7 linked regions of the Nothobranchius furzeri genome follow. The protein of the gene in region 6 purifies or fractionates together with the protein of the main gene of each other region. This does not show direct contact. Links are inferred from orthologs where the notes say so. Each region holds a gene or a part of one and is shown on either strand. Other genes may lie near its edges.

Region 1 (4,009 bases), on a different chromosome or scaffold from region 6:
GGTGGCCGAAGGATTGAGTCTCCGTTTTTTGCAGATGATGTGGTCCTGTTAGTTTCATCAGAACGTGATGTCCAGCTTTCACTGGAGCAGTCTGCAGCAGAGTTTGAAGCAGCTGGGATAAGAATCAGCTCCTCTATGTCAGCGACCATGGTCTTGAGTCGGAAGAGGGTAGAATGCCTTCTCCGGGTCAGGGATGAGGTCCTCTCTCAAGTACAGGAGTTTAAGTGTCTCTGGGTCTTGTTCACGAGTGAGCATGAGGTCGACATGTGGATTGGTGATGCATCTGCAGTAGGGCTGGGCAATATGGCCTAAAATCAATATCACGATGAGGATTTCACCTCGATAACGATAAACGGACGATAACTACAGGAATGCGCAGAAACAAAAGTTGTCCACTAGATGGGGCTGTCACATGTTTTACATTGAGTCATACTTTTACGAGGTGGTACAGCTTCTTAAAGGGACATGAACGTTGACAACCTACACACATCTTGACATGGGAAAATTATCTCGATAAGTCAGAAAATTTGATAACGATACATTTTCGATTTATTGCCCAGCCCTAGTCTGCAGAGATGCGGACATTGTACCGTCTGCCATGGTGAGAAGAGAGCTGAGCCATAAGGCGAAGCTTTCGATTTACGTTCCTACCCTCACCTATGGTCACCAGCTTTGGGTATTGACCCAAAGAATGAGATTGTGGATACAAGCAGCCAAAATGAGTTTTTTCCACTAGGTGTCTGGGCTCTCCCTTAGAGATAGGGTGAGAAGCTTGGTCATACAGGAGGGGCTCGGAGTAGATCCGCTGCTCCTCCACATTGAGAGAAGCACGTCCAATTGGGAGGAGACTTATGCCCAGAACACACCAGCTGCGAAGAACCGCGGAGTGGATTGCTCACAAAATTTGTGCGCTCTCCGCTCCTCTTCTGGTCACATCAGGCGAGAATTTTCAACGAGCACTTCTGCTCACGCCTACTGTTTTCTAAACATGCCCTTGCTCTGTGTGTGTGTGTGTGTGTAACCAGTTTGCCTTGCTTGTTGATATTGGACACTGTGCTGATTCTGCTGCTGTGCATTTGTTTGTATTCACATTTATTAAATCCATCTTTTGCTGTAAACACTGAATTTTAAATTATGGTAACACTACGTTTTTCTGCAGGTGTGTGTTTGTTCCTTTTCATCTCTCTAGTCTATTTAGATACACAAACATGATCACTTTTATCAATTGCAGTGTTTTATTGTGAATTTTTTTTTTGTTAAATTTACCAGCCTGCCTCTTCTGCTTTAGTTTACTTCCTGCCAGAATTGTTCACTCACGGCTCACGTAAAAATAGAGCTCACGCCAAAATGATCGCTGCACGGAGCGAGCCTTTGTGGCGCTTCCCAGCTGATGTGACTGAGAGCATAGGTTAACAGGGACAAAGCGCCCGTCGTTCAACAGCGCTTCCTTGCTACTGTATTATCTGGGTGCCTCGCCTCTGACAGTGCACCCAGGGCAGCTGCGGCTACATCGTAGCTAATCACCATCAGTGTGTGAATGTGTGTGTTAATGGATGAATTACACACTGTAGAGTAAAGCGCTTTGGAGTCCTTACTCTGAGAGGCGCTACACAAGTGCGGGTCATTTATCATTATCATTTGAACTAGATTAGAACCAATTCCCTTTCAGCCAGACTAACGCGTTATATGCATTTTAAAAAACTACAGAAGTCTTTTTAGGGCAATACTTTGGTTCTCTAGTGTGCATGTTAAGGCACTGTATATGTCATGGCTGACCAGGGGAGACCTTGGGATTCTGCGGGAGGAGCTGGCCCAAGTGGCTGAGGAGAGGGAAGTATAAGCCTCTCGACGTAGACTGCAGCTGCCGTGACACGACCCCGGATAAACTGAAGAAAATAGATGGATTGGTCTTAATGCGCCATTCTAATTTTTGATAATGCAGCTGCCATCAGCCTCCAGTGAGGCAAGTGTACAGCGCTGCAGACACGCACATGTAAAGAAGAGCTTCCTGCTTCCTCTGCCGCAGGATAGGAACATCTGTCACATGTCGATGTAAAATTCAGATTTAAAGTATTACATATGAAAGGGACCCAGGTCTAACTTGATAATTATGACGAATATGTGTTGTGAACGTCATTAAAAGCAGATGTGGGTCATAAAAAGCAGAAGTGGGTCACATCTGAGAAAGAAATTCTGGTTCGACCATTGAGTCAGCAGTGAGAACACGGCCTATGATCCAATAATTACATGTAAAAGCAAAATTTTCACCTTCTACGTTTGTTTCGTTACAAATTCTGTTATAAATGTTGAGTAAAATAGCCGAATAGTTTCCACACCTTCGTTAGCTCCCTTCCTCAGCTGCTTGTAGTTGGAGGCTTGCTGCACCAGGTCCAGGATGGTTTTGGTCAGGGTGGCGTCGGCCAGAGGGTAGGCCTTTGGGTTCACTTGGGGCTCACTCTGGTCACAAAAATGAGAAGGTTCAAAATAAGCTTCAACAGAACAAACCAGCTTTAACAAAAATCACATTATCTTATTTTAAGAAAGCGCACAACCGTGTGTTCTTATTCATGCTACATGCAAGCCCGTCTGTTAGCCTATTAGCTCTTACACTAAGCTCACCATTTTTGTAATCCGGCCCTCTCGGCGAAATGCTTCACGGAGGACTATTTGATTTGTCTTCAGAATATAAATACAATCGAAACGTGAATTATTCTTGTTTCATTCGAGTTTTAATAGCGCCACAAAACGACTATTATCTGCAGCATGCACTAGATCCAAACGTTGACCCCACGTGTGTGATGGTCGTCAGGCTGCACATGCGCACAGGGAATGTAATTTTTTCAAAACAAACTTTATTAACAAACAACATGAACAAACTGAAAAATACTTTCTAAAGTTCAAATAAAGTTATTTTAAAACAGCTTTCGAGTGTGTATCATGGTGTGTATTGCTTTATGACACTGTAAATGTCGAGGGGATATCTTATAAACCTTTAATAAAAAAAACAAAAATATGAAAGAAGGTTTAGACTTTTTATCTTTGAACCCGTTTTCGTTTTAAACCTGAGGCGTTTGTGGGCTTTCATGAAGTCGTTTTTTTTTCTAAATTGTGGACTGTGACTATTAGTTGTGGGAAAATGCTTTATAAAGATGATGATGATGATGATGATGATGATGATGATGATGATGATGATGATGATGATGATGATGGAAAGTTAATTATAGAATTACTAATTATGTAAATGCAAAATATTAATCAGTGTCACGATCTAATCAGATTTAATTTGCCAATTATTTTCCACACACAATCAATTTGATTCATATTTCCCATTTGCTGTTCTCGAACTCTTTGTTTTTTGTGATTTTAGATCTGGAAAAATTGTTGATGCAGTTTATTTGTTGGTCTGAAGAGGGCGCGCGGTTTATGCAAGCTAGAGATGAACGCGCTATGCATTCTGGGTAGGGCACTTTCCATTCAGCCATATTGTATCGTTGTCCTGGCTGAAGGAGACAGGAGAGATGAAGGGGATTCGGGGAATCAGTCAGTTAACGGTGAGAGCTGACTTTATTTGTTCTGAAAGTTTGCGTGACGGGATCAGTGTTCCCATCCCATCCAGTCGCTGTCACTAACTGTCTTTGGGTGGTTTTAAACCATACCTGTCTTGTCTTGGAACAAGCAGCCGGCTAAGCTTGACATGACTGTTTAATCTGAAAACTTGATGTGACCAAGAATAACTATTTTTCTAGACATGTATGTATATGATCATGAATTAATCTCCACTGTGTTAGGCTCTAATGACTGACTCCTCAATTGTTTAAATGTAAGATAATTAACAACTAGCAGCTAGCTAGGCTAGTTAGCATACCAGAGGGTACGTAGTAGCTTTAGCATTTTTCAGAAGGCTTAACTCTAGGTGTGTGTATCTCACTCAAATACATATCTGGATCGGTGAATGAAGACTAAAATTATCAAGTGATTTTCATTTGGAAAGAAACCTTCAATCTTTGTA
Region 2 (3,999 bases), on a different chromosome or scaffold from region 6:
TGAAGGAGCTGAACCAGCAAGTCTCGAGTCTTCTTTTCATTTTCTCCCAGCTGAAATCGCTCAACTATGAACTTCATCTGGGCATCCACCTGAAGGAGCGAGAAAAACTGTTTTAGTTCAATCATCTCAAAAAGAAAAATAGAAACACTTGATTTACTGAGCTGTACGACACATGAACCATGAGGATTATCATGCTGTATTTTCTTTAAATAATCTGTAATAAATATGTTGCCCAGCTGCACGGTTCATTTCTGATTATGTCAAATCAGTTCTAGTACGGATGCTCACAGATCCCAGCTGACACAAGTCGGGTCTGAGACGATCTAGGACCTGCTGGAGGTTCTGGGGGTTGTTCTTCTTCTTGGGAATTAACTTAAATTCCTTCTTTTCTCGAGGCTTGACCCGCAGCTTCAGCCCCTTCATGCGGTGCTCTACACAGGACAAAGCTGCCTGGATGCTCTCCGTTTCACTGAACTGCACGATGGCAAAAACACCCTGTGAGCACAAACACACACACCATCAGTCACTCTGCCCATGATTATAACACCCGGCCTCTTTCATGAGAAGGCTTCATCTAATAGGAAGTCCGTCCCACCTTGCCTTTGTCCATGATAACATCTGTGACGGCCCCAAACTGCTGGAAGTATTCGGAGATGTCCGTCTGAGAGATTTCAGGCTTGATGCCACTGACAAACACACTGTGCTCCTCCTGGTTCTTCCTGGTGTCTCGTACAGTCGTCAGGGTCTGATGCTTTCGCCCCTTCACATGCTGATCGACACTCGGCACTGGTCGGCAACAACATCAAAGTATTTAGTAAATCAGAGGGATTTCTACCACTTTACATCCTGATTCACTGTGTTTAATCAAGTTTTTGTTTATTCTAAAGAACTATTTCTTGCAGATTAAATTTTAAACACACAAGTTGAGATCTCCGTAAGTAAAAATGTAAAGAACAGTCTGAACGTTTTACCAGCCACCGTTACAGATGTTCAGATTTATCTTACACTAAACAAATGGATCTGTTTCTGGATTTAAAGAGCAAGTCACCCAAAAATAAACCTTTTTTAAATGAGAAACTAAATAAATGTGTGTCTAATCGTGCTGCAGACACATGTAGTCAATAGTTTTGCACTTGTTAAATTTTTAATTTTCTGCCTTAAATTGTCAGTGTTGTGCCGTTGTCAGGTAAAAACTCTGCTCTACACTTGAATTTAAATCTGCCATCGCTCTTGGCTAAGAGGTTTCCTAGAATGTTAGCTGGTACCATATGATGTCACAATGTTGTTGTGAGCCTATGTGTGTGTGTATTTGTTAGCGGCTGCACCCTCTCGGTCTGCTAGGCAACAGCATTTGTTGCATTTTTCAAACAGGAAGTGGGAGTGGAGTAATACTCTGGTAGGGGGTGACTTGATCTTTAAATGGATTTTTCTGGAGACTGATGCCATTCTGTCATCCTTCAGAAATGTTAAGTTCGTAGTTTCTTTAGTCGTGTACTGCTGGGACTTAACAAACCACGAGACCAATCCCTAACCAATTCAGCAGGCCTTAGCAGTGTCTCATTTTACAGCTCAAGATGGTGACATTTAGAAAATGAATAAGAAGAAGCCTCACTTAGTTTTTGTTCAGCTCCGCAGATTTGTTTTCAATATTTGGGTCTATTTTCTCTTTTGGAACATAATGAGCATCATTCTCTTGTCCTTTTCATACCAAGGAAAGATGCCACTTTTAGCACAAGTGTTGCAGATTTGTGTCGTTTACTTCACTTTACAAACTGTGTATGGTTTTCTTAAAGACTAAGGCTAAAGCTATCTTAAAGTTATGTTTCATACTATTTAGAACTGAATCTCAGTCCACACCAAGGAAAAGGGAAAATAAAGAAACTTTTATTGATGTCTCAACATCCAGAGCCTATGGTGTGAATGTGAATGCATTTGACAGATGCTTTTGTCCATAGAGACTTCTAAGTGGAGATGCAATGTTCAATGTAAAATACTGAAGTCTGACAACTTTTTTTATGCTTGTTTTTACTGTCTTGACCTGTTTGATTGCTGGTATGCCTTGTTGTTTCTGCTTGATTTTATTGAACGTTTTTATTCAGTCTTTTGTGACATTTCAGTAAGGCACTTTGGTCCTCTCATGCTGTGCTGAATACAGTTACAAAATAACTGGTATGGTACTATCTGGTCTAATATAATTACTTGCATTTGACGGTATAGTACAGATTCACTTGGATTTAAAGGTATCGATTGAATTAGAATCGACTCTTTTTGCCTTTTCTGCAGTGCTGTGAAAATTTTTTTTTTTTCAAGAATAATCCTAAACTTTAAGATGATCAATGGTGTGTTATTATTCACTCCAGTTAAAGGCATTTGGATAACAACCACATTTGGTCGTCCCGTATGTAATGTTGGACAAATAAATTTATTGTTTTGATTTTAGAAAGACAAAACAGTTGAGTTAATGTTTTTTTTACTTCCATCTCAGCGCAGGTTGTTGTTTTATTGTTAAACGAACCAAGAAAAACCTTTATTAAACAACATTCCTAACAACCAGGCAGCTCACTCGCGCGCGTGGCTGAGCTAGCTTACTTACTGTTTGGTAAGTTGGTGTTACACAATGCGCAGAAAAACCCTCTCGGCGTCGTTTGAATATCACTGTCTGATGACATGGTGATACTAAACAGTTTAACCAGATACTACACCAAACAACCGTCTACAGTTTAGCTTTGAGGACACCGCTGCGCTTTAAATTAAATCTCCCTCCAGCGTTGGCTAGTTGTTTGTGTTCTGTCCGTCTCTAATATGTGTCCGGGTTGAGTTTTTTTTTTAACCTCACAACCTTCCAGTTCCGTTTGATTATGTTGCATACTTTAAATCTATTTAGCTACTTTTGCATTTTCTTTTAGCCAGCTAGCTAATTACTTTAAACATATCATGTGGTCAACACTACACTAGAATGAAGCATGTTATATTTCTGGTGTAAAACGGATTCAGATATTACTCTTGATTTGTACGTTTGCTGACAAATTCAGCTGTTTAAATTAAACAAATCTCCCAAGAGATTTCAGCCCTTAAACTAAAGTTAAATTAAAAAAGTTAAACTATGTAAACTAGTTTTACATAGAAGGATCAGTCACTTGCATGGATTAATTTTCTGGTCAAATAGAAGCCTTGATTTTAATCTTACAAATGAAAAGTTTAATCATTTTATGTGTGAAAATGCTCAAGAAAAGAGTATTTGTTTATTAATAATAAAGAAACCATGTTTTTCCATTGTAAAAAATTTTATTTTTCCCACCATAAAATTATTTGCTGAACTTGTATTGAGTAACATACAACTTGCAAAAGCATAACCCCTCCCCCAACAACAAATGCCTAAGATCCCTGATGAGTTGAGACAAAAAGACAAACTGGCTTTATTCACAGTAAAATCAGCTAGGTGTTAAAATCTAAATCCAATTAATAAAATCTAAATCCAATTAATAAAAAGAAACGAATAAAGGAAAACAGTAATAATGATTAATACAATTTACAGGTTATTTCTTTGCCTGTCTCCCTCGTCTGGTCCTGGGTTGCGGCTCGGCTTCAGCGACACTCTCTTCCCTGGGTTTTGCTGCCGCCGTGTCAGCAGCCTTCGCTCCTCGTCTACCTCTCTTTGCAGGTTCAGCTTCAATTTTCTCTGAGAGATCCTCCTCTTCAGGTTTGTTGGTTTCCTTTGATGTGTTTTTGCTTGTTGTGTTTGCAGGTTTTGCCCTTTTACCTCTAACTGCCTTTGCAGGGGGTTCTCTTGGAATTTCCAGGACTTGCAGACCTGAATCAAACCTCACAGATTTCTTTGTGTTTGCATTTTCCTCACCAGCCGGTTTTACCGGCTCGTTGGTAACCGTGACCTCAGCTTCTGGGACCTTGGCTGCAGCTCGTCCCCCCCTTTTTGTGGGTTTGAAGAGTGCTGGAGGAGGTTCTGATGCCTGTACTGCTGATTCAACGTGGGCCTCTGCT
Region 3 (3,500 bases), on a different chromosome or scaffold from region 6:
GGCGCTGCTGGGGTCTGTTAAAGACAGCATCGTTCAGGGCTTCCAGTGGGGCACCAGGGAGGGGCCTCTTTGTGACGAACGTAAGAACCACGCTGAGTTTAGCTGTTGGATGTCAGAATGCTTGTTGATATGGACATACGTAGCTTAATAAATATAAAATGACAGAGTCTTGTGTTTTTTCCTCGCTCTTCAGCCATTAGAAATGTGAAGTTTAAGATCTTGGATGCTGTGATCGCTCAGGAGCCTCTCCACAGAGGAGGAGGTCAGGTTATCCCTACGGCCAGGAGGGTTGTTTACTCTGCTTTCCTCATGGTGAGGCTTGGTTTGATCCATACCTTCTAAATGCTTGCTAGCTTTGATTGAATCATAAATGTGTTCATTAGAACATCGTAATGCTTCTCCGGGTTTTAGTGCTTTAGAGTCTGCTTTGTTCTCCCAGGCCACGCCGAGGCTGATGGAGCCGTATTATTTCGTAGAGGTCCAGGCTCCGGCTGATTGTGTGTCAGCGGTCTACACGGTGCTGGCTCGGAGGAGGTTTGTCTCACGAGGCAAAAACAACAATTCTGACAATTATTTGTTAAAGTTTTAAAAAACTTCTCGTGTGTTTTCCGTCTGTCAGAGGTCACGTCACCCAGGATGCACCTATTCCCGGCTCTCCACTCTACACAATCAAAGCTTTTATCCCAGCCATCGACTCTTTTGGCTTTGAGACTGACCTTCGTACGCACACTCAGGGTCAGGCCTTTGCTCTGTCTGTCTTCCACCACTGGCAGGTGAGATTAAACACGCAACCTGCTTTCTGCGTGTTATCGCTCTGAATTTGATTTCATCAGATTTAGCTGCGATTAAAATTCAAATAGCAGCAGAAATGTGTGGCCTACCAATAAAGTGTGCACCTGAGTGTGACAGTCACTTTGCACCATGAAAAAAATCAATCAATAAATACTTTATTAATCCCAGAGGGAAATTAGAGCGGTAAACAATGTTTTGATCTCTCTGCTGTTGAACTCGTGCGTTTGTGGCAGCTCGTGCTGCGTCGTGGTCGACCTCATGCATGTCTGCCACTCTGGGCAAACTGCTTCTGATCCAAAGGACGGTGGAGTGTTGAGTCATTACTTTTAAAGCGTTATGAGGCTGTTTGTGTCTGCCTGACGTGTGTTTGTGTCTGCACTCTGTTGAGCTGTGTCAGTGAAAATGAACTCCACTTAGGCTAGATTAATATTTCAGCTTAGTGTCTTTAAGCCACGAGCTACGGAAAATATTCCCACGGCACAAATTTAAAGTGATATCGTCTTAACCGTTTTATCCCCTTGAGGTGAAAATAAATGCATCTAACTAGACATTTTAATTATTCACTATATGAATGCTAATCATATGGAGTCGACCAAAATTAATACAACTCTTGACACCTTTGGTTGGTTTGTGTTCAGATACTTTCTACCTGGACTGCACGATATTGGGAAAACCTGCGATATTCGATAATGGTGATTGATATTGCAATGACGATATTACTTGCTATAAATAAAAACTTAACTCGGGAACAAAAATAAAGCAAAGAAATAAAATAAATCATAAAAATGAGAAATGCAAAAGATGTGAGGAAAGGGAAAAGAAAATGATCAAGAAAAGCAGAATCAGCAGAACAAAGCTAACTCAGGTGTTTGCTAACCATTAAAATTAAGTTCCGTCCACCTCGGGGGCGGGAATCTAACCTATGAGAACCCACCCGATTGGCTAAATGGGTGAAGAGCTCTATTTGATTTGTTAAACATCATTCTTCCGTTTGACTGACAGAAGCTTGATGTGAAGCAAACATTTGAGCTGACCATTCATTGCGATATTTTGGTTCTTTGCGATACGCATATTGCTCATGCTGATATCGCGATAACGATATATTTACGATATATTGTGCAGTCCTACTTTCTACAGAATCTTTTTCAAGCTTTTACCAATTCAATACATTTTTAATACATCAGCTTTTCACTACTGGAATATTCCCAGACATAGTTTTATGTAAGCAGCGATATTTAGTTTTTGTTGCTGTGGGGGCCGATTGTTAAGTAATATTGTCAGAATTGCTGGATTTGATCACGTTTAGATTTGGATAATATTAAAATTAAACCAGATAGAAAAATATAAAGATGCTAATCTAAACAAGCAAAGTTAAACGTAAATATTTAAACTGAAAACTAAATGTGTGGAGCTGAATATAAATGTTAAAATATAAAATGTGGTTATCGTATTTGGGTAACGTGCAAATTTAGACTCGCGTGGATGGAAAGTGGCCGACCAAAGAAAAAAAATTCTCTATATTATGGATCATTGTTCCCGTCATGGTTCTGCCGGCGCTTTGGTAAATGAGCCACGGTTGAACTGACGGACAACGTTTTACTGTCGAGGAAGCTTTAGAGACCTTAGACGGGGGTCTCTTCACCCCGCCTTTCGATTGGCCACTTCTATTTTACATCAGTCTGAGTTAGCACGTTAGCTCAATATTTCATAGTTTTTAAGAAAGCTAACTTACCGGAATATCTAAACTTTAACATTAGTGTGGCAAGGTGGACAAACGAGGGCCCAGGCGGGATTTGATCCCCCAGACTCCCGGGTGAGAGTCATACGCTCTAACCAGTCAGCCAAAGGGACATCCCCTTGGCCAAGTAGCCAGGGCGCATGATCTATCGGGACATTGTGACAGGACACTCACACTGTCACATCAGCATTGTAACTTTAAAAATCGACATTTCTACTTGATGTCTGTTTATTTTAGGAGTTCTGTTTGGAGTTGTGTTTAAACGTTTTCAAATAACTTTGTAATTTCCTAAATGAATGCGACGCAAACGTGAGTTCAGGATTCCCACCCCATTTTAATAAGATTTATTTAGTATTTCTTTGCGATTACTTTTACACTTAGTGCCTCATCAATCACCGTTATCATCCGTAACTGTAATTACTGTCCCAACACGACGGATTCAGCTGCTCAGGGTATCCAGAATAGCTCAGAGGTTGGTGTAGTGCACCATTTGGCCACATTTCCTTAATAGTTAGATTTAAATACTCAATGTTATTATGTAATTAGTAGCTCTCACGCTTTGGTTGATTTGGCTGGACCTACTTCACGTACACGCCCACCACCCTGCTAGCAGGTCTCATCTTTCATCTGCGGCTAAATGCAGAACGGGACGATTAATATATGACGCGTTTTGTGAAGGTCATCCTGCAAACTGCCTGGGGTAATGGCTTTAGTGGATCGTTTTAAAGCTCAACCTGCCGACGTTGCATTGTTGCTGTGTTGGTCACATTTGATGGTGTGACGGTGCTTTCACATTTGCACATCTCTCCATCACGCTGATGAACGTTCTGCTGACTCCGTACCAACAGGACAGGCGTTCAGCTGAATCTCATAAAATGAAAATATCCACTCGGCTGGTTGAAAAGTTTCATGTGTTATATGAGAACAAATGTGGTTTCTGTTTGCATCACCTATCTGATCCCCCTTTAAG
Region 4 (3,959 bases), on a different chromosome or scaffold from region 6:
GTGTCTTCCTCACTTTTTAATTTGTATTTTAACGACTCGTTTCAACACAGATTGGTCCCACGAAGCAGTATTCTGACCCTAGGCATTAAACCGAACACAAATGCTTTGTGGGTAAACAGATAACCACCTAACGATGAAGCAGCGAGTGACGAACCTGAGGGGTGAGTCCTGCCTGTCTGACTCCCTCCTCCTGAGGTCCGGTGAGCGGCTGCGGCCCCTTCTGGGGGGAGACTTGGTTCTGGACGGAGAGTGGTTCTGTTTTGACGTCCGCTCGGAGGCGCCAGTCGACACATGGCGACTGTCTCGGTGACGAGGAGAAGCACTGCGTTTCCGTGGAGGGCTGTGAGGCCCTCGTCTGTGAGGGGAGCGGTTCTCTTTCCCCAGCGAGGCGTCCTTAGACGGAGACTTGGCGACCCGTTTGTCCCGATCTGCATCTGAGCGGCTTGGCCGTTCTCGTACTGGTGACCTGGACCGTCGACTTGCTCTGTCCTGGTTTGGCCTGTCATCTCGCTGTGGAGAGGAACGCTTATCAACACGATCGGCTTTCTTCTCGTTCTTTAAGTTGGAAGGAGAACTAGACTTCCGTCTCTCCTTGGGCCGATCAGTGCTGCCCGAGCGTTTTTTGTCCTTAGACCTGCTCCTGCCACGCCCTCTGTCCTTAACGCCCGCGTCCTTACTGCTTTTGGTCCCTTTGTCCTGCTTAGACTCCTTGGCGGGTTTCTCTGCAGACTTGCTACGACGCTTGGAGCTGGACTTACTGACCTCTGTTGAGTCTCGCCTCGATTTCCCACTTTTCCCCCCTCTTGGAGAGATGGGTTTACCTGAGCTGCCCCTCAGACGCTGCTCTCCATTCCTGAACCTGGCGTCTCCATCCTCTTCAGACCCAGAGTTGTAGCCCTGAAGAATCAAACCCATGCCAGACTGAACCTTGCCCTCCATCAGCTGACTGTCCAGTTCAGCTTTAATCATGGCCCTCTGTTTCTCCAGGTCCTCCAGCACGGCCCTGTCATCCAGACTGGGATTCCCAGAAGAGGGAGACGACTCCACCTTCTTGTGGGTGGAGGAACCAAAGAGGGCGGCAGCAGACGGGGAGGTGTCCTCTTTGCGTTTGTGTTTCCTGTGTTTATGACGATGCTTTCGCTTACGGTCCTTGTCTTCATCAGATACATGTTTGTGTTTTTTGTGCTTGCTGCGATGCTTGTGTTTTTTCCTCTTGCGTTTACCACTACCGCTGTGATGTTTGGACCCTTCATCGACCTTCTCAGTATTTACAGCTTCCTCCTGGAACAAAAAAAAAAGAATATTTTAGATGTCATTCTGAATTATTTATAAGTAAATTTAAATCAGTAGAGTAAAGAATGTTTTAGTTACTGTGTTCATAATAAAATTAGTTAATTACTGTGTAATACTGGATTTTTACATTTTTTTATGTTATCGTTCCTCCAAGGAACAAGGACGACACTTCTTAGAAGAAAAATGGGTTCAAACCGTAAAACACCCAAATCACCAAACAACATCCACCCACATAAGAAACACTAATGTGTCAGATATGTTTCATGTTTTTTTTCTCCCATTCTTAACTTTAAAATAACCAAATAAACAACCCTGATTGATTGATACCGGTAAACACTCAAGTGAATCAGAGTGAATGGTTAAGATCTTAATTACCACCACTGGTGATTTTTAGGTCTTGCTCTTGTTCATCCCTACCTCTTCCTCCTCCTCTTCCTCAGATATGTCCCCGCTGTCTTCATTTCCACTTCTTTCATGGCTCTCCAGATCTTGCTTTCTGTTCAGGAATAAAAAAAAGAAAAAAAAATAATAAGAGGGTTATGACAGTGGTGACCATTATCTGTAATTTACAGAAAAATAAATGTTTTCTAGATTGAAGGATTTAATTGAACGCTTAAGCCATAGTAGCTATTTAACAGAAGGTCAAATAGCTTCAATTTCATTAGTTAAACGTTTTTCTGGATCCACATTAAGCAGAACTTGGTTTGATTGCATTTTTCCAAACAAAAACAGAACATTCAGGACCACGAGCATTGTTGATCTAACAACTGTAAGGTAAATAAAGTTCAAGCTAACCCACTCGACAGTGAGAACACATACATTATGAGGATCAAGGTTACGTAATGTTTTTAATTCACTTTAAACCGGGGTTAACAGTTGTTTACAGCATAGGAGTTACTAATAACAGAAATCCTATAATTCATATCATACACTCACTTAACGCCATGCCAGATCTACTTGTTAGCTCAAACCGCCAAGACTGATGGCTCGGCTATTAGCACAGATACGCTAAATGTCTTTAGCAAACTTAGCAGGCTATATCCTGTTCGCTAACTCACATTCAAACTCGATAAAACTATAAGCTTTTCTAATGTGTTCAGGCGTACATTGTGTATATGAGCAAATTAGAATGAACAAAACAACCTGGCCGCTGTATTTGCTACGCGTTAAAGAAAACTTAAGCTAGCAGAGCTAAATTACACTTAGCCGAAAGCGTTAGCCTGTCGTTAGCATCTCAGCTCGCTCGTGAAACAACGTGAGACTGCGACTCTTTCATCCTCCGCACATGTAGCGATTTCCATTTAAAACGGACACCGAAATGCATTTAAGTCTCACAGCCACCAGCCTCAGTTGTCTCCGAATTACAGAACTTACATGTGTTCGTTTCCATTATTCATTCTGCTGGACATGATGTCCAGCTCAACGTCTGCCATTTTCCTCAGCTGAGAAGCCTTCTCTTCTTCTTCGAATAATTAGAGGGAGCACTGCCGCTATGATTGTACCGCGTCCCCTGGTGTTTGGGCGATGCTGTGCAAACTGGTTTTCCCACAAAGAATTTTGCACCACCAGGAGGCGTAATTTTCTAACTTGAAATCACACCCTACATTGATCTACTAATAATTTATACTATAACGTATATTTTAAACATACGAGGCAACTAGCGAGTGCATTTTATAGCTAAAAACCTGTAAAAATATTGATTTCAATAAAGTATTAATGAATATAACATATTAGAAAAGGTGCTGATGGGGTAATGACACACATACAGCACACTTCACCCTGTGCTCAGCATTAATTTTTTCCCCTGCCGCTTTGACCTTCTATAAGACACATCAGTTGATTACAGCTACGCTGTGGCTTCTGGCTTACATGTGTCCATTACAGATTTCCTCCTGTGACCGCATCCTGCGTGAGTCGTAGCTAAGTTTTTGTTTGTAAGATGATGCTAACCACCCAACAAGCACAGCATGAATCTGGGGGCGGAATCTTAGAAAAAAAATGACAGAAAAGGCAACAAAAGGACATAAAAACAACTACGAGAGGCTATTGAGTTTACGACACTGTGGGATAACCATCTGGTTTGATTCTTTATGTCGAGCATTGGTATGCATAACATAAATATTCCAAAGATTATTGGTTTAGATCAATTTTCTGCTTCGTAAAAACAAATCTTTGAATGTTTTCACAGTATTTGTTGATGCACTTTGATAAAAAAAACATTGTAACTTTATGGACAAATGCACAATAACTTCACTTTATTGCATTATATTAAATAATTTTAATTTGCATTATGATTTGATAATAACACTGATACACAGACATTACAGACAGTAACTTAAATTAGTATTATATTCAAGATTTCAAACATTCATAAAACGATCATATGAGTCTCTCTCTCTCTCTCTCTCTCTCTCTTCTCTCTCTCTCTCTCTCTCTCTCTCTCTCTCTCTCTCTCTCTCTCTCTCTCTCTCTCTCTCTGCTCGGTTCAGTGCAAAAAGCTGCACAGATGATGCTTTTTGTGTGTTTTTTGAAGTCATGTGACTTCCTAGGATGCAGAAGCATTAATGGGGTGTTATTGTCCCCTCTTGACAGTTTTATTTGAAGCAGTAAATTGTGATATTGTGAGACACCTTTGCCTGCTTATTCACAGTGGTAAGAAAGTAAAG
Region 5 (2,168 bases), on a different chromosome or scaffold from region 6:
TTACTCAGTAACAGATATGATTTCAAATGTAGCGAATTGCAATTCTTTTTTTAAAAACGTACTCAAGTTAAAGTTAAAGTACAGATTCAAGAAACGACTTAAAAAGTATAAATATACAAAAAAAGCTTCTTAGGTGTGTTCTTGCTGTGTCGTATCTCTAATTCCATGCTGTAGTTCTTTTTTAAAACACAGAGCAGTTTTGTTTACCTGCTCTGTGTTTTAAAAAAGAACTACAGCATGGAATACAAAAGAAGCTACTCAGTTACAGTAACGTGAGGAAATGTAACTTGTTACTTTCCACCTCTGAATTTAATTTAACAGAGGTTACGGTTGTAGCTTCACAGATGTGATGTATATAATTCACATGAGATGTGACATTAAAACCACTATGATACTGGGAGTAAACTGCACTAAGCACCTGAGGAGCCGCTGGCCAGCATGACTCAGAACTCCCGCCAAAGTGAAAAGAAAACGTAGAAAAGTAAATAAATGAAGCGGAGTCTTTTTTGCACCAGATTTATTTGTAAAGTTGTGTAAGTTAGAAATAAAAGTACAACAAGTTCAGCAAGACTTTTAGTCGTGAAGAAAAATTGTTCATAACTTCTATTTTATATTATTGTAGCTTTAAACTCTGCCAGAAGAAAGCTTTTGTTTTTTAAAGTGAAAGAAAAAAAGATGGAAAAGTGCCGGTGAGAAGTGATCCGGACACAAAACTGAAGTGAAAACAACATTTATTTTCAGGAGGCCTCCTTTCTGTTTCTGAAGTCTTAAAATAAAAAAGTGGGTATCAGAACTCGGTCATCTTCTTGTGTGTGTCGGCCTTCCTGTGCTCGCTCTGGATGGAGAGCTCCTGTGCTTTCTGCTGGGCCAGCAGGCGGCGAGCCCCTGACAGTTGCTCCTCCAGCTGCTTAACTCTGGAAGCATCTCTGTGCAAAACACAAACAAACCCGGCATGAAGGAGGAGGAGGAGGAGGAGGAGGAGGAGGAGGAGGACGAGAGGGGTGACAAGTAAAGAGGATTTCTGGTAGCTATGGAAACAAGAATCTCACCTCACATTTTCACATCCTGTTTACATTCTCACACAACTCCTACCGCTCTCATGTTACTTTAAATACATCTGATCAGAAATAAAAGCTATCTGAACTCGACCAGAACTGATAAAGTGCTGTGAGACACATCTGGACCGACCTGCCCGTCTGCCTGCTCAGTGACTCGCTCAGTTTCTGGATCTCCCTCTCAGTCTGAGCAACCCTCTCAGCAGCCTGGAACAGCTTCACATTCAGGCTCCTCTTGGCGTTCCTTCCTGCTCTGTAAGCTTCCACCCCGGTCGCCGTCGCTGCCGATGGCGCAGCAGCGCCCCCTTCTGCAGGATCTGTGCATTTGTCTCCAAGCTTGTGATTTAAAAAGTCAAACACAGTTTGCCGCTTTCCGGGAACTCGGGGCTTCCGGCGGCGTTTCGGGCGGGAAGCTTGTGTTCCGTCTTTCGCAGCCTTGTTCTGAGTGCGTCTCTGTGTTAGCTCTGCACACTCGTCCAGAGACTTCCCCTTCGGTAGCACCACCGCCATCACCGGCTCTACTCGACCCTCCTGCAGCTTTCCTAAACCTGTGGAATGGAACAAGCTTTTGAAAAAAGGGAGCTGGGGTCTCATTTATCAAACATAGCGTAGAATCCTTACTACAACCGTACTTAAGCTCAGCAAAAACAAATGTACTTACGCCAAGTTGGTTTGTGATCTATCAAACATGGAGTACACACAGCTGCACGCAATCTCTGCTTCATAAATCGGAGACTAACGAGAAAGTTTCTCAGCTGCATTTTAGTCACATCCCGTCCTCACCACGCCCACTTACTGCCATAAATGGTCAATGCAAACTAGTGCCTTGTGGATCTCATGCATGTACATAAGCCGGCTGTTGCAGCGCTCCGCCAATGACGATGGCGACCGTAGATCAAGGCAGATGAAGGAAGCGCAATTTCACAGAAACAGAAACTGAGGTACCTGTGGGTGAGGTGGAGAAATGAAAGGAAGTGCTTTTGCAAAACAAATAAGAGAAAATCCACGGAGCGGCACAGCGTTGCTGAAGCCGTCGATGCTGTGAGTTCTTCAGAGAGATCTGTGGCGGATATAAAAAAAAGTGGTCCAATCGGGATTCGATCCCCAGACTCC
Region 6 (4,234 bases):
GGCTCTCATAACACCTGAGCAGTGCCACAGACTGATCGAGTCCATGCCACGCCGCATTACTGCAGTTATTGAGGCAAAAGGAGCCCCGACTAAGTATTGAGTGCTATACATGCACATTCTTTTCATGTTCATTCTTTTCAGTTGGCCAACATTAGAGAAACAAACATTTTTTCATTGGCCTTTAGAATATTCTAATTTTCTGAGATACCAGATTTGATGTTTTCATTGGTTGTCACCTATAAATATCAAAATTAAACGTAATAAACATCGGAAATACATTGGTCTGTGTGCATTGCATGAATATAATGTACAAGTTTCACGTTTTGAATGGAATTACTGAAATATTTTCAACCTTTTGATGATATTCTAATTTACTGGCCAGCACCTGTATAAGAATTATTAACATCATCAACATAAACATCAGTCCAATCAGAGCAAAACAGTTCATATTTCAGAGCTTCAATTGCAACAGAAGTTTTTTTTCTAGTTGTGGTATAATTTACATTTTCCAGAGATGTTTCATCACTTCTCATCATTTCCACCACAGTAAACACCAGTAAATGATCAGTAATATCAGTTAAAAAAGGCCATTCTTTGTCTTGACGTCAGATTGATTTATGAATATATTATCAATCGGTGTAATACTACGGCTGTTATCCTGCTTGGTCTCAGTATCAACGGAAGGAAACCTAAACTAAACATTAAATTGATAAATTCAGCTATTTTAGTATTATCATCTGATTTAAACATATCAGTATTATAATCACCACAAATTAAAGCAATTTTGTTCCTACATTGCCCAAATAATGTTTCAATACGTTCATTAAACTGATCTATAGAAGAACCAGGACTACGATACATACAACTTATAATGATGTTTCTGGATTTTTTACACTTAATTTCAATTGTCAGACACTCCATCAAATTCTCAACAATGAAGGTCATATTTGTTAGTTTCGTACAATCAAAACCAGTCCTAACAAAAAGTGCTACCCCACCCCCTCTTTGTTTTGTCTGCTCTGAGTAAACATTTCATAGCCATCCAGTTTATTCAATAACTCTTTTCCATCTTTGATCCAGGTATCTGAAATTGCAACTACTGTAAGTTTCTCCTTGAACTCATTTAGGTAATCTGAGATCTTAGATAAATTGTTGTAGAGACTTCTGCTGTTAAAGTGTATTAATGAAAATCCACACATACTCACTTTGAAGTCCTCTACAATATAATATTCACAGTCCAGGTGGGTGTTGCTGCAACCATTAATTTCTGAGTCAACTCCATTATCTATCAGATTTGATATTTTTTTTAGATTTTATGATCTACATCACTGACAAACCTAAAAAAAAATCTATTATTTCCTGATTTCTTGTAGTCTGCTGTGTCCATGAATTAAATACCATCTTCTTCTCATCATTTGAGTTTTTCCAGTTCAGAGAGGCTCTTGATGCTCACCACCATAGCCTGTTCTGGTGGTCCAGTAAGCTTGATCATTACTTTACAGTTCCTTATCCAGGTATCCTGTATTTTCCTCTCCTTCTTCAGAATTCTTGCTTGCCAGGCAATCTCTGCATTCTTCTTTGTCAGGTGCTCATTTACATACACTCCTGTGCCCTTAAGCTTCTTTACGACCTTTAACAAGTCAACTTTATGTTTCCTGCTCACAAACTGAATTATTGTTTTGTTTTTTTTTTCCAGTTTTTTTAGGAATTGTGTAGCATGCAGCTATAGTGGTGCTGTCAATAGAAATGCCCTTACTTCCAAAGAACTGAATAACTTGTTTCTCCAGTGACAAACTATTAATGGTAAATGGCCTGTATTTGATATAGCGCCTTCTGAGTCCTGCAACCCCCCAAGGCGCTTTACAACACAATCAGTCATTCACCCATTCACACACACATTCACACACTGGTGGGGATGAGCTACGATGTAGCCACAGCTGCCCTGGGGCGCACTGACGGAGGCGAGGCTGCTGAGCACAGGCGCCACCGGTCCCTCCGACCACCACCAGCAGGCAACGTGGGTTAAGTGTCTTGCCCAAGGACACAACGACAGCGACAGACTGAGCGGGGCTCGAACCTGCAACCTTCCGATTACGGGGCGAGATCTTAACTCCTGTGCCACCATCGCCCACGCAATGGTGGGTTAGGGTTAGTTCATTATTTATTAACTAACATTAACACTAATTGATAAATTTTTATTATGTTGTTTGAACCCAAGGGTCTCATTATCAGATTTTTTTAACTTGTTGGATTGATCTAAAAGTGCCCCCTTTTTTTTTTTTTTTTTTTACTTTGAGCCCCGCCCCGTCAAAGGTCTCTGCACGGCCCTGGTTTCAGTAGAACGAGCTCTACGAAAACCTGACTGCCTGGAAGCTATCATAGATGTTATGAGTGAGTTAGTAGTGAACTGGTGCTGCAACCCACACCAGTAGTGAACTGGTGCTGCAACCCACACCAGTAGTGAACTGGTGCTGTAACCGTAGCTGTGCAGAACACACACGGACCGCACGACGAAACCATAGAAGCGTTCTGATGTTCGCACGTGACTCGGAGCTAACGGCTCACGGACACGCGTGTCTAGCCGAGCACGCGCACCTGCTGTTTGGACCATAAGCGTGTTTCTCTGTTTTAAAGCTTCGTTTGTTTTGTTGTTCAAACTTACCGTAAAAACAGACGAAGCCGCAACGTCTCCTAGCACTGCAACCCGGATATGAAACTGTTGGCTTCCGGGTCAAAGCTTCTTTTTCCGGTTGGTGGATCCGTGGACTTATGGGTAATTAACCAATCTACCTGTTAGCCAGATAACCAAACAGCTGACGATCAGGACGAAGGAGAGTCTCGGTGCGTCAGGTAAAGTCACCTGGGTTCGTCACACAAACGGGTTCGGGTGGACGGAAGTAAAGTTGACATGATGTTCACAGATTCGACTTTTCCGCCTCAACAACTTCGGATGTTCTGGAACATAACGCTGTGTGGAGTCAACCCGCAACACCTGCGTTATTTAAAACCTCTGCTTGCGACGCTTTTACGTTGATGGGGTGACGGTGGCACAGGAGCCCAGAGCCCCCCCTTAACCGGAAGGTTGCAGGTTCGAAACTCATAGAGTTGCGTGTTTTCCCCATCCATGCGGGGCTTCCTTGCGGGGTTAGACGCGGTTTTCCCCCCCTACAGGCTAACTCTTGTAGGTCTGCCACATAAATCAACTTGCCCTGCTCTCCTAACATTTTTTGATAAATGTGTCTTTAATTAGGTGAATTTTTAATCTCCTCCACAGTAGGACCCTAAACCTAGTGGCGCCAAATCGTCACAGCTGATCGATACTCTTGTGCCCGGCTTGGTAAACCTTTTAGGTTAAGAAAAACTGGTTTTCTGATGTTGGGTGAATTTTTCTAACTTGAATTATCAGTAGGTCCTACACAATGCACGGTGGTGCCACCTGCTGGTGAAGGTGGAGGTTTGTCAGCAGTGGCAGAACCAACATTAGGACGAATTACTGGATGCTTTCTTTGCAGTGAGATGATAAAGCATCTGGAGGGCTTGTTAGTGACCTGAGCAGTGAGAAGCGTGATCAGTGAAACATGTAAATGAATGATAAACGACCCACGCTTGTGTAGCACCTTTCAGAGCCTGAGGACTCCAAAGCGCCTTACACTACAGTGCATCATTCATCCATTCACACGCTGGTGGAGATGAGCTACGATGTAGCTACAGCTGCCCTGGGGCACACTGACGGCCAAGGCTGTCAAGCACTGGTGCCACCGGTCCCTCCGACCACCACCAGCAGGTAAAGGTCTTGCCCAAGGACACCACGGCAGCATTCTCTGTCTGAAGCTGGGATCGAAATTGCCACCTTCGGGTTAGTGGACAACCCGCTCTACTCCTGAGCTGCTGCTGTCCATCATGTAGTTCTGAGCTGCTGATAAAATTCAGGGCTGACTACAAAATCTTGCTCATCACATATAAGGCCACTCACAACCTTGCCCCTCGTACCTCTCCCATCTCATAAAGGTTTCTACACACTCCCCAGTTGCCATCAACCGGCACAGTCCCCCTGCCCGTCCTGTCACCGTGGGACGTCTGCCCCCTAACCCCTCTCCGTGGAAGTCATTACCAGCTGAACCCTCCACCTGTTGAAGCTTTTCTCTTCCCTGTAACTATGTTTGACGTTTTATCGTGCTTTTGAATGCACCACTCATTTAATGCTTGTTCGACTGTTTCGTTTGCTTTTACTTTA
Region 7 (4,167 bases), on a different chromosome or scaffold from region 6:
ACAGGTAAAAAACCTCAAACAGAAAATATCCCAGACAAGCTAAATCATATCCATTATTTTATTTAAAAAGTATCCAAATTCAGTTACTTCTCCTCAACTTTTATGAAATTTAGCTAAGAAACTAAAGAAAATACAAATATGAAAATTTGTATTTATATGAAAGTTTGGTTCTTGCCTAAGGGTTATTTTAACTAGGCATGCACGGTAGATCGGCATCAATATCGGTATCGGTCCGATAAATAAAACTGGGCCGATATTAACAACCGATATTTTTTCCACCTTGTTTTCATTTGTTGATCTGTTTCTGAGGGTGAGGGGATGATGTGTATCGGTTAAGTCATGTGACAATGATTGTAATCATCTCAGAAGCGTAGATGTGTCTGGTGTGTGCACATGATGTACATTCAGCTTTAATCATTTTCATTCTATACAAAATCTGCTGAAGTTAGGAGCATTAATGTCAGTACATCGGTATCAGCAAATATTGATTATCAGCCATAACGGTCATATTAATATCAGATATCGGTGCATCACTAATTTTAGCCCATAAATTAAACTAGAGTCATACCTTTTCTTTCTTTTTTTCATCTTCTTCTTCCTCTGCTTTTATATCCTTCTCTTTCTTCATCTTGCCATCCTTAGACCTTGGTGAAGGGCTTCTATAAAGCAAAAAGAAACTAAAATTTATACCAATATAAATGACTTCTACCTAGGATGCTGACATTTCTAACAGAGAAAAGGACAAAACAGAATCAAGCTAAATTAAAACTTCAATAATAATCAAACCATTTGTAAACATCATTATGGTTTCCTTTTACAAACCTGGATCTCTTGTGATCTTTATCCCGTCGATGGCTGTCTCTGTCCTTACGGCTCCTCTCCCTGTCTTTGTCTCTGTCACGATCCTTGTCTCTGTCTTTCAGGCGGCGGTCTCTGTCATCATGAGGCATTTTAGACAGAAACACAACGTCAAGCTTGGATGTGTAAATGCAACTCCAGCCAAGCAGCAAGTATCACGGGCCACAATGTTGTGGTTGAGTTCTGTTTATATGTTGGCATTTTCGTTACCTGTCTGGAGACTTGGAGCGGTTTCGTTCACGAGAACGATGACGTTTGCGTAAAGGTGACCCTTTACGGTCTCGATCTCGTGAACGACTGCGTTTCCTCTCTCTGTCTTTGGTTCCTGAGGATTCTGCATCCTTCCTGTCTGCGGACTCTGCTGCCATCTGCAAAACACAAGTGTTTTGGCACGATTTTCCATTTGCCTTTTAACAATAATAATTCATGATTACAGACAAAAATTCATGTCAGGAAGTAATAACAAAACCATTTCACTTTTACTTCAAAAATCCCAACAGCTCTGAATCTTTTCTTTAGTTTATTGGGTTTTTAAAGTTACGTTTAACGACTGATACAACAAACAAGATCAACGTAAAAACTAAAATGTTCTACCTGTAATTCACAAGAAAGTCAAAAGTTAAATAGATGTAAAATGCACATCTATTTTACTCTTGAAACAATAAGTACAGCTGATCCCAAGGGTCGCCTCCACTAATAATAAAACACAAAAAATTTTCTGCAAAACTTTTCACATTTCTTGAATGAATTTTTATTTATTTAAATAAGGGGAAGGTAGAATACACGTCCCTAATTATTAGGCCATTAGATTTGTACTCATGTCATACATCGTGGGGATAATGTCTCTCTTTCCTCGTTATACCTTGTCATCACGCTTCTTTTACATAGGTTTTAAAATTGCTTCAAGTGTACAGCATTTATTTATTTCCTCTGCCAAGTTATTCCACAATTTCACAACCCTCACTGAGATGCACATTGATTTCAATGTTGTCCTTGCTATAGGCTGACACAGTTTATTGCTCCCTCGTAAGTTGTAGTTATGAGTCTCTATCTTGAAATAAGTTTAAATTTGATGGGGAATTTTTTTTACAATTTATACATAATTTGGGCTAATTTAAAATGTACTAAATCATGTAACTCAAGATTAAATTAATGTAGAGACAGTAAATTGGAATGATCATTGTATTTAGTTGAATGAAGATTTCTAATAGCTCGTTTTTGCAAGGTAATAAAATGAATCCAATTAGTTTTATCCCATTGGTTTTATACGCAATTAAAGCCTTCTGCTCACGTACAAAGCTACATCGTTTCATAATTCCAACACATTTGGCTACTTTTGTAAACAAGTTCATTATATGAGGTTTCCAAGACAGTTTTTCATCAATTATTATTCCCAAAAACCTACATTGATGCACTCCCTCAATAATTATATTATCAACAGTTACGGATTAGTTTGATTCGTCTCCTACAATCGTGAGCAAGATATCCTTGGGCTTACGAAGAGATGAAGCTTCACAGTCAAGGTTTAGTTATTCAGTCAAAGTGAGAAATCAAGTTGACATCAGACTCAGTTGTGAACATCTGCACGTACGTTTAGAAAGCTAGCAGGTTAGCCCGCTAGCAACAGAAAAGAGGCAAGTTTATCCTCAAAAAGTAGCACGAATATACAAAACTGAAACTAAAATTCTGTAAAAGTTAGCTATGATTGGAAAATTAAACCCAGCCTGTATGTTTGTTAATTGTTTGGTTCAAATCTTACCGTATCCACTTGTCAACAAAATACTAGCGAATTTTATACGCTTTAAGAAGACGCCATACTGCTAACGCAAGAACAAACACGGAATGCAATGCATTGTGGGAGCAGTAGTCCAAGAACTATCCCATGACAGTGGAGGTGAATTAATAAAAACTACATTATCCAGCAAACTACGCATTCTGTTTCTCAGGACCCAGGTTGTTTGGCATGAACACCTAAGTGCCTTTTCAAAAATAGTAAGAGCGCGCGCGTGTGTGTGTGTGTGTGTGTGTGTGTGTGTGTGTGTGTGTGTGTGTGTGTGTGTGTGTGTGTGTGTGTGTGTGTGTGTGTGTGTGCTTTTAGTTTTTCATTTTTACATTCTAGGATTTGGTGTGTTCATTCAAATCTATCTGAGGAACAAATTTCATGTTGTCATTGTTTTTTACTGAAAGGTTCTTAAAGCATTATTGATTAGATTCATTTTAAAATTGATTCTGTAATTTATTTTTTTACATATGCCACCTGCACTGAGGGCATGTGAGTGGGTACTAATTGTGTGTGTGTGTGTGTGTGTGTGTGTGTGTGTGTGTGTGTGTGTGTGTGTGTGTGTGTGTGTGTGTGTGTGTGTGTGTGTGTGTGTGTGTGTGTGTGTGTGTGTGTGTGTGTGTGTGTGTGTGTGTGTGTCGGGGGAACACATTGTGTGACAGACAGTATGTATGTATGTACCCCGAGGGTGTGCTAATAAAGAAGCCTGCTGTTAACCTGCTGGTGCGGGTGTCTAGTGTGATGATAAACTGATGTTAAATTCAGTTTAAAGAAAAACTGGGAGGAAGCTTTGGCTCATTACATGAGATCAAGTTTCCTTTCTGCTCCTTCATAGACAGCATAGACATGAGGGTAACATGATGAGGGTCACACAGGAAGGTTTGTAGTTAGCTGGTGAGTGAAGGAGATCCATCAGCTGGGTATTTTAATCCTAATCCAGCCCACAGCCTCCATGGTGTTATGATCATCAATAATAAAACACACATCGTGAATATTATTGTAAGTTTAAGATTTATTTTTTATGTTTATTATTTTCTGCATGAAACAGAACTTGATTCAGTCTCCAACATTTCAGAAATGGATTTAATTAAAATAACAAACTAAGTCAAACATTTGATTTGGTGTTATTTCTGACACCCTTGAACTGTGGCATAAACATTTGACTCTAAAGCTGTTCAAAGACATTAAACACACTAATATATGAACCCACTGTGTATTTTATAACTTAAATTAAAGGCAAGAATTGGAGGTGTCCTATAGGTTTTCAGTATTTTTTCAGGTTTTGTGTGGAGCACATAAATGTATAGGGTGGGTGGCTTTCTGTTAAGGGACATTCAGTCCCTTTACCAGAGGAGCGTGAGTTTGGTCCTCATAGCCGGTAGTAAGTCGAACCTGTTCCTGGTGAGGGTTGGACTCCGCCAGGGCTGCCCTTTGTCACCGGTTCTGTTCATTACCTTTATGGACAGAATTTCTAGGTGCAGCCGTGGTGTGGAGTGTGTCGAGTTTGGTGGCAGGAGAATCTCGTCTCT

The links.
Region 1: the proteins of prpf4 (region 6) and snu13b purify together in Homo sapiens (affinity purification with mass spectrometry; 4 studies listed by BioGRID and IntAct, counting the BioPlex papers as one, with this or other methods). This does not show direct contact. The link is inferred for Nothobranchius furzeri from reciprocal best matches to the Homo sapiens genes PRPF4 and SNU13.
Region 2: the proteins of prpf4 (region 6) and tut1 purify together in Homo sapiens (co-immunoprecipitation; 3 studies listed by BioGRID and IntAct, counting the BioPlex papers as one, with this or other methods). This does not show direct contact. The link is inferred for Nothobranchius furzeri from reciprocal best matches to the Homo sapiens genes PRPF4 and TUT1.
Region 3: the proteins of prpf4 (region 6) and eftud2 purify together in Homo sapiens (affinity purification with mass spectrometry; 4 studies listed by BioGRID and IntAct, with this or other methods). This does not show direct contact. The link is inferred for Nothobranchius furzeri from reciprocal best matches to the Homo sapiens genes PRPF4 and EFTUD2.
Region 4: the proteins of prpf4 (region 6) and prpf4bb purify together in Homo sapiens (affinity purification with mass spectrometry; 3 studies listed by BioGRID and IntAct, with this or other methods). This does not show direct contact. The link is inferred for Nothobranchius furzeri from reciprocal best matches to the Homo sapiens genes PRPF4 and PRP4K.
Region 5: the proteins of prpf4 (region 6) and zgpat purify together in Homo sapiens (affinity purification with mass spectrometry; 4 studies listed by BioGRID and IntAct, counting the BioPlex papers as one, with this or other methods). This does not show direct contact. The link is inferred for Nothobranchius furzeri from reciprocal best matches to the Homo sapiens genes PRPF4 and ZGPAT.
Region 7: the proteins of prpf4 (region 6) and ddx23 purify together in Homo sapiens (affinity purification with mass spectrometry; 4 studies listed by BioGRID and IntAct, counting the BioPlex papers as one, with this or other methods). This does not show direct contact. The link is inferred for Nothobranchius furzeri from reciprocal best matches to the Homo sapiens genes PRPF4 and DDX23.

The regions. Positions count from the first base shown.
Region 1 is NC_091756.1:29,119,202-29,123,210, reverse strand, and holds the start of snu13b (NHP2-like protein 1), read right to left. Parts: upstream 2,801-4,009; 5' UTR 2,623-2,800; coding exon 2,620-2,622; intron 2,458-2,619; coding exon 2,337-2,457; intron 1-2,336. Other genes in the region: uqcrc2b (cytochrome b-c1 complex subunit 2, mitochondrial), read left to right, coding at 3,519-3,551.
Region 2 is NC_091756.1:31,152,475-31,156,473, forward strand, and holds the start of tut1 (speckle targeted PIP5K1A-regulated poly(A) polymerase), read right to left. Parts: upstream 2,801-3,999; 5' UTR 2,670-2,800; coding exon 2,594-2,669; intron 787-2,593; coding exon 596-786; intron 496-595; coding exon 289-495; intron 90-288; coding exon 1-89. Other genes in the region: mki67 (proliferation marker protein Ki-67), read right to left, coding at 3,537-3,999. UniProt on the Homo sapiens protein: Poly(A) polymerase that creates the 3'-poly(A) tail of specific pre-mRNAs. Localizes to nuclear speckles together with PIP5K1A and mediates polyadenylation of a select set of mRNAs, such as HMOX1.
Region 3 is NC_091745.1:13,626,204-13,629,703, reverse strand, and holds part of eftud2 (116 kDa U5 small nuclear ribonucleoprotein component), read left to right. Parts: coding exon 1-80; intron 81-193; coding exon 194-312; intron 313-439; coding exon 440-534; intron 535-619; coding exon 620-773; intron 774-3,500. UniProt on the Homo sapiens protein: Required for pre-mRNA splicing as component of the spliceosome, including pre-catalytic, catalytic and post-catalytic spliceosomal complexes. Component of the U5 snRNP and the U4/U6-U5 tri-snRNP complex, a building block of the spliceosome.
Region 4 is NC_091747.1:44,848,220-44,852,178, reverse strand, and holds the start of prpf4bb (pre-mRNA processing factor 4Bb), read right to left. Parts: upstream 2,801-3,959; 5' UTR 2,727-2,800; coding exon 2,668-2,726; intron 1,790-2,667; coding exon 1,711-1,789; intron 1,282-1,710; coding exon 155-1,281; intron 1-154. UniProt on the Homo sapiens protein: Serine/threonine kinase involved in spliceosomal assembly as well as mitosis and signaling regulation. Connects chromatin mediated regulation of transcription and pre-mRNA splicing.
Region 5 is NC_091755.1:51,593,943-51,596,110, forward strand, and holds the end of zgpat (zinc finger CCCH-type with G patch domain-containing protein), read right to left. Parts: intron 1,604-2,168; coding exon 1,189-1,603; intron 927-1,188; coding exon 788-926; 3' UTR 501-787; downstream 1-500. UniProt on the Homo sapiens protein: Transcription repressor that specifically binds the 5'-GGAG[GA]A[GA]A-3' consensus sequence. Represses transcription by recruiting the chromatin multiprotein complex NuRD to target promoters.
Region 6 is NC_091746.1:69,563,499-69,567,732, forward strand, and holds the start of prpf4 (U4/U6 small nuclear ribonucleoprotein Prp4), read right to left. Parts: upstream 2,801-4,234; 5' UTR 2,663-2,800; intron 1-2,662. UniProt on the Homo sapiens protein: Plays a role in pre-mRNA splicing as component of the U4/U6-U5 tri-snRNP complex that is involved in spliceosome assembly, and as component of the precatalytic spliceosome (spliceosome B complex).
Region 7 is NC_091755.1:54,897,176-54,901,342, reverse strand, and holds the start of ddx23 (probable ATP-dependent RNA helicase DDX23), read right to left. Parts: upstream 2,801-4,167; 5' UTR 2,618-2,800; intron 1,227-2,617; coding exon 1,069-1,226; intron 934-1,068; coding exon 823-933; intron 660-822; coding exon 569-659; intron 1-568. UniProt on the Homo sapiens protein: Involved in pre-mRNA splicing and its phosphorylated form (by SRPK2) is required for spliceosomal B complex formation.